Linked DNA regions of Callithrix jacchus. The protein of the gene in region 2 interacts with the protein of the main gene of each other region in a biochemical or structural test. Links are inferred from orthologs where the notes say so. Each region holds a gene or a part of one and is shown on either strand. Other genes may lie near its edges.

Region 1 (3,654 bases), on a different chromosome or scaffold from region 2:
CTGTGTCACACTCGGCTAGGAATGCCTAGAAAATACACATGGGGCAGTGAGGGCCCATCCTGGGATAGCCAACCACTGCCCACACAAGGCTCTTTGCCTAGACATTCTGGGGAACCCATGACTGAGACCCAAAACAGACTGTGCATGAATGGAGATGGGCAACTAGCCTGGGCTCCAAGGTAAGGGGAGGGAGGAAGCATAGGACCAGGGTCTCTGACCACGCTCTAGGCCAGCAATCCCCTAAAAGGTGGGAAAGGCCACAAAAGCTTTGCCGCGAGGCCACTGAACAATTGCAGGGGGCACTGTATGCATGAATACTGCCTCCTGGAATTGTGTAACGTGTCAACTCTGTCTGCTCTCCAGTGAGTTCCCTCCCTAAATAGTTTAAATTCAAATATAATTATAGGGATATAGGGGGCTCTTCTCTGATGTTTGGGGTCCTTGCTGATAAATGAACAATAACCAAAACAAGCACATACCACACACCATCCTTCTATATTACTCGACTTTGAACAGATAAACACACATACCAACATATTAACATATTACACTTTGTCATGCACTATGACACAACTCACCTGAACCTTTTTTACCAAGCCTTTCCTTTTCAATCTACTGTCTTTGAAATTTTCTGGCAGGATCTATGGAAGAGTAAGTTGACACATAAATAATCCTCAGTGAAAATGACATGAGAACACATAAGAAACACCCACAGTACATAAAACGGGTCACAGGTCACCAATGTAAATAAACGTGCATTTTCAAGAACGCCTTCCCTGGGTCTGTATCCCATATGGCCCTTCCATGGCTCTTGTCCCTATAAAAGCTCCCTCTGTTCTCAACGTCTGGGCCATAGGAACAGATCTGTAACACAGACTTTGTTCTTTTATTGTTTCCTATGTATGGATACTCTGCCCTGGCCAGACTGTGGGCTCACTGTGACAGGAAAAGTGCCTGCTGCTGCTGCTTTACAACTCTGGCCAACAGAAGCACACAGCACAGGTCACCGTCAAGAATGAAACATCAGGCTAATATCATACTACTATCTGCAAAAGAGAACCTGAGTTAATGGTTTTCAACAGCCTGATAAGATCTGGGTCTGGCTGAATCCTCTATAAGTAAGTAGCCCTGCAGAATGATCAGTCACATGAGGAGCAGAGAAAGTGAAGTCCTCTGTTTCCTTGACCACGAGATTGTGGACTACTTGGGTCCCAGCTTCATGTTGATTAGAGATGCTACTGACAAACATAAGTATAAATGATAAAAGTCCTATGCTGGAGGGCTGTGAGTGCCTAGAAAGCAGGAACTGTCTTATTATTGTGCACTCACCCAGGACCTAGCAATGTGATGGCACACAATAGTATATGCTTAATATTCTCAAGTGATGGGTTTGCTCAGGCAATAGGAGAGTACATTATTGAAAGAGTGAAAGTGACTGAAAGAAAGTCAAAGAAAACTAGTTCTTCTCAGCTGAATATTTACTTACCAGTGTGTCAATCTCCTCCAAGATCTTCATAAATTGCTCTATTGTGGCTTTTACTTTCCTATCAAGTTTGCAGAGAGCTTCAGCTTGCAAATCCTTGGGCAGAAAACCCTGTGGGGGAATAATGCATTATTGCAAGGGTTCTTTGAGGCTGATAGAAAATTCCACGCTGCGATACTAATGAAGCGACCACACTGAGTCCAACACAGCCCTGGCAGGCCAGGTAACATGTCAGATCCACAACTTCATCTCTTGGAAAAATTATAAAGGCTGGCCTTGGGCCAGTCTAAGAATTCTATTGGGTTGTAGTCTGCTCTACCTCACATGACGCACTGTGGCTGCAAATGCCTCCTGAGGCTTGGCTCCAGTGAAGCCCCTAGTCACAAGTGTATACCAGCACACAAGAGGCAGATGTTAAAAGCACAGGCTTAGAGTCTTCAAAGCCTAGGTATGAATCCCGACTGCCACTGACTAACAAGTATTCTTGAACAAATTACTTAAGACTATTCATGCCTCAGTACTCTCATTTAAAAAAAGAAGATTATAATACCCACACCCTAGAGGGTTACTGCGAGGCAAAGGGAATATATGTATATGTGTAATTAACTTGTGGCACAGACACATGCTAACGAATGGCAGCAGTGCTTACTTTTATTAAATTGTCTAATGGTTCATTCATACAGCTTGGCCTAATGACCAGTTACCTGCTGGATAGCAGGGATCTCTGAGGATGTTTATCACGGCCAAGAGCTACAGATATAGATTTCATAACATGTAACAAGAGCTTTAAACATCACCCAGCAATTTCAACTCAAAGAATTTATTCTACCAAAAAATCAAGAACAGTCAAAAAAGATTTATGTCTAAGGATATTCAAAGAAGCATTACACAAAATACTAAAAATAATATTACATAATGAATAATACAGAATTGGCAAGGTAAATGAAACATTTATATAAGATGAAATGCAAGCTTTGAAAAGTACCATCACAGGAAAATGTTTAATTTTTTTTTCTTTTAGTAGTAGATGAGAAAATGTTTAATTTTTTATCCAATAAAAGAATAATTTACAAAGCATACATAACATAGCAAAAAAAATTTTTTTTTGTTTTTTTTCTTCCCATCCTCCTTCTGGCCCAAAATTTTTTTTTTGAGAGGAAGTCTCTCTCTGTCACCTAGGCAGGAGTGCAGTGGCACAATCTCGGCTCACTGCAACCTCCACCTCCCAGGTTCAAGTGATTCTTCTGCCTCGGTCTCCCAAATAGCTGGGATCACAGGCGCCTGCCACCATACTCAGCTAATTTTTGTATTTTTAGTAGAGATGGGGTTTCGCCATGTTGGCCAGGCTGATCTTGAACTCCTGACCTTCGGTGATCCACAAGCCTTGGCCTCCCTAAGCGCTGGGATTATAGGTGTGAGCTATTGCGCCCGGCCTATACCAAATATTTTTTTAAGATGAAAAATACATTTCAGGCTTTGGTAATGTCATCTCTGAGTTAGGGCCTCGTGGGTAATTTTTATTTTCCATATTAGTGCCTACACATGTACTTAAAACTTTTGTACAGTCAGCATGTATTCTGTAGTTAAAACACAAACATATAGGCCAGGAGTGGTGGCTCACTCCTATAATCCCAGCATTTTGGGAGGCTGAGGCAGGCAGATCACTTGAGCTCAGGAGTTTGAGACCAGCCTGGCCAACATGGTAAAACCCCATCTCTATTAAAAATACAAAATAATTAGATGGGTGTGGTGGCAGGCAGAGCCGAGGCTGAGGCAGGAGAATTACTTGAACCCGGGAGGTAGAGGTTGCCAGTGAGCTGCTGAGATCACGCCACTGTACTCCAGCCTGGGTGACAGAGTGAGACTCTGTCTCTAAATAATAAATAAATAAATGCCAAAACACAAACACACACCAATTAATGTTACAAAATGAGAGAAAAAAAGAAATATGTGGTCTTGAGCTAGTCCTAATCTGTGCTGGGTTTTAGTACCCCATCTCTAATATAAAGAATTGAATAGGATGACTCTCCCAACCCCACTATCATGTTCAACTTGGACCTTCTATGAATCAGCAAAATGTTCTTTGCCTTGCCAAACAGACTACAACAGCCCAGACAGGGAGAAGCTACTTGTTCTACTTTAGACAATATATAATCCTAGCATGCCAGGTG
Region 2 (3,654 bases):
TCTCTTCCCTGTATTCACAAGGGCAAAATAGTCCTTTGGAGTTATAGGGAGTTTCCCATATGCTGTGTAGGTAATTATATTAAGGAGTGTATTAGTTACTGTTGGATAGGGAGAAAAATGGCTTGACTAGTCTTCTGGTAGATGATGGAGAGGCTTGAATAGTGCTATACATGTTATTCTTTCTTTACCTGAGAATATTCTTCCTTTGGAAAACGGGCCAGATTAACTGGATAAGACATGAGAATGGAATTGGGCGTTAATTTTTATATGTATATATTTTTTGTCTTATTTATACTGTAGGCACAGAAGGTGTGGTTTCAGAGTAGATTTTAAGACACTTAAGTCTGTCATTATCTTGCAGACCCTACAACTACAGATCAGAGTCTTTTATTAATAGAAAAGTACATTTCATTTGTGGTTCCTTTCTGTTTATCTAGATTGAAATAGACTATTGAAGACTAAATTTTGTACTGCAGCAATATTTATAATCCATTTGACAGGATTTGGGGATTTTTGTAAGATTTTAATGTTACAAATTTCAATTTAATATATATTGACTTTATCGTGAGATTGTTATATATCATTGTTTAAATAAAACTTTATCATGGCCAGATATGGTGGTTCACACCTGTAATCCCAGCACTTTGGGAGGCTGATGCAGGAGAACCACTTGAGGCCAAGAATTCAAGACCAGCCTGGGCAACACAGCAAGGCTCTATCTCTACCAAAAAAAAATGTTTTAAATAAATAAAGAGAAAACTTCATTCTAAGAACATGGGCTTTGGAGTTCAACAGATGTGGTCCAACATAGGCCTTTATACTTGCTGTGTGGCCTTCAGCAAGTTACCTTCTTAGAGTCCCAGTTTTCCTATTTTTTCAGATAGGAATGATAATACTTATTTTATAGGTTTGTTCAATGAATTAAATAGATTATTGTTTTATGGCTATATAAAGCTATATAGAGTTGTTTATAGCATGTGATAAATGGTAGCTGTTATTTGTATTGAACTCCTACCTTGTTTAAACATTTCCCTTTCATGTTTTTTTTTTTTTAATCCTTTTTAGTAAAAAAGCACGCTTAGATTGGAATACTGATGCTGCCTCTTTGATTGGAGAAGAACTTCAAGTAGATTTCCTGGATCATGTTCCCCTCACAACACACAACTTTGTAAGTTGCACATCTCTCTTTCTAGCATGTTGAGGGCTTTGCCAGGCCTAACAGAAATTTCTCAGGTAATAGGCATATGTGTGTGTGTGTGTGTGTGTGTGTGTGTATTTGGATTGTTTGAGGCTCTTTATGCCATTGTTTACAGTAAGGCAATTTAGATTTCATTGCCTTAGTCAGAGATACACTTTAATTTATGATTATGAATTCTGTAAATGTTGGAAGTATGATTGATTTTTGTAAAAACTCTTTTGGAGGCCAAGGAAGAAAATGACTTTGTCTTTTGTCATCTTTTATTCAGCATAATTTACACCTGTGTTCTTGTAGGCTCGGAAGACGTTCCTGAAGCTTGCCTTCTGTGACATCTGTCAGAAATTCCTGCTCAATGGATTTCGATGTCAGACTTGTGGCTACAAATTTCATGAGCACTGTAGCACCAAAGTACCTACTATGTGTGTGGACTGGAGTAATATCAGACAACTCTTGTAAGGCATTGTTCATTTTCTCAAGGAATATAGGGATAAGGAGTATAAATACTTTAAAGGATATTCATTGTAGATTTTGACTGACAGGTCTGGATTCTAGATTCATTTACAGAATTGTGATCCAGAAACTATCTACTTTAGAAACAGATACTTCTGAAACTAGCTAGGTTTGGTGGCATTAATACTCCAAAATGAGCAGGTAGGAATAGGACTTGTTGTCTGTTAAATTGAGATTGCCATATTGTGACTGTGATTCAGTAAGGAAAAGAACAAAAGGATATGAAAATGAGAAGATTTTTTGGTTTTCTCTCTTAATAGTATCATCTGCTGGGTTGCTAGTAGACACTGCTCTGTATTTTGTTGCTTATGCTGAACAAGCCTTTAACATTGAGAAGGAGCAGAAAGCGCAGTTGATGCTATTTTCTTAACTCCAAACTGGAGAAAACTTAGTTGTTTGGACTTAAAATTGTTTGAACATAAAATCTTGAAAGATTCTTGTTTCTGTCAGGACACAATATATTTCATATAGACAAAATATTATTTTATTAAAAAATTTAAAGTACATGGTCCAAACTGCCTTTTAAAAACTGTCACCAGGAATATGAAAAGTTTAAAGTTTTGTCCTTTTCGACAGTACTAGAGAAACCAAGAGAGTGTTATTAGACCATAATGGAAACATCTTTTTTGCTTTCGTGGTTACTCACATATTGATTTTGTAATGAGAGCTTGAGTAGCACAAATGGCAGGCACAACCTTTTTTTATTTGTCTTATTTTTGTCCTTCAAAAAAAAAAACAGGGTCTCACCCTCTTGCCCAGGCTGGAGGGCAGTGGCATGATCATAGCTCACTATAGCCTCAACCTCTTGGGTTCAAGTAATCCTCACCTCAGTCTCCTTAGTAGCTGAGACTACAGGTGTATTTCACCATGCCTAGCTAACTTTTGTATTTTTTGTAGAGACGGGGTTTCATCGTGTTGCCTGGGTTGGTCTCCAACTCCTGAGCTCAAGCAATCTGTCCACCTTAGCCTTCCAAAGTGTTGCAGGTACAGGCATGAGCCACTGCACCCAGCAGCACAAGCTTTTGAGTCCAACAGACATGTACCAAAATCTCAGTGTTCTCATTAACCATAATCACATCTGAGTTTTCATTCACGTGTCTGAATAAAGGGGATATTACCTTCCTTGCATTGTTTTTGTGAGGCTTGCTGACATAACCTGTGAAATTTACTAAGCACAAGTGCCCAGCTCATGGAAAGAAGGTGCCTAATTACTCACTTTTCTATGATTTATTCCTCCTGTTTTACTGTTTTTATCTATGTATTTCCAAGTTGAAATGTTTCTGGAAAAGCACTATGTGACATAGTTTGTAAAATGCTGTGTAGTCTGAAAAAACATTATTTTGATCCTGCTAGACATAGGACCAATATTTCCTAAAAATGCACAGTCCTAGAAATGCACACTGGGGTGGGCATGGTGGCTAACGCCTGTAATCCCAGCACTTAGGGAGGCTGAGGTGGGTGGATCAGCTGAGGTCAGGAGTTCAAGACCAGCTTGGCCAACATAGTGAAACCCTGTCTCTACTAAAAATACAAAAATTAGCTGGATGTGGTGGTGTACACCTGTAATCCCAGGTACTTGGGAGGCTGAAGCAGGAGAACCTGGGAGGCAGAGGTTGCAGTGAGCCGAGTATGCACCACTACACTCCAACCTGGGCAACGGAGCAAGACTCCGTCTCAAAAAAAAAAAAGAAATGCACGCTGGAGACTGTATGTTTATTGGCAGGTCAGTATTATTCACATTTAATAATCATTCAAACCCAGTTATTTGGAATGTTGTTCCTTTTACTGTAGGTAACGTAAAACAGTTGAGGAAAATGTGACTGGGCAAAGTTCAGTTTGAATAGCTGTGAGTTTGCAAAAGCAAGGCATGCTGATTATCTCTGTAAGATTACTACAGCTCTAAAAACCAGTCTTTCCCTGCTTTCATTTAGATTGTTTCCAAATTC

The links. The genes of interacting proteins can lie anywhere in the genome.
Region 1: the proteins of RAF1 (region 2) and BAG1 form a complex in vitro, tested with the Homo sapiens proteins (2 studies listed by BioGRID). The link is inferred for Callithrix jacchus from reciprocal best matches to the Homo sapiens genes RAF1 and BAG1.

The regions. Positions count from the first base shown.
Region 1 is NC_133502.1:140,446,528-140,450,181, forward strand, and holds part of BAG1 (BAG family molecular chaperone regulator 1), read right to left. Parts: intron 1,595-3,654; coding exon 1,487-1,594; intron 642-1,486; coding exon 579-641; intron 26-578; coding exon 1-25. UniProt on the Homo sapiens protein: Co-chaperone for HSP70 and HSC70 chaperone proteins. Acts as a nucleotide-exchange factor (NEF) promoting the release of ADP from the HSP70 and HSC70 proteins thereby triggering client/substrate protein release.
Region 2 is NC_133516.1:69,764,156-69,767,809, reverse strand, and holds part of RAF1 (RAF proto-oncogene serine/threonine-protein kinase), read left to right. Parts: intron 1-1,065; coding exon 1,066-1,168; intron 1,169-1,492; coding exon 1,493-1,650; intron 1,651-3,639; coding exon 3,640-3,654. UniProt on the Homo sapiens protein: Serine/threonine-protein kinase that acts as a regulatory link between the membrane-associated Ras GTPases and the MAPK/ERK cascade, and this critical regulatory link functions as a switch determining cell fate decisions including proliferation, differentiation, apoptosis, survival and oncogenic transformation.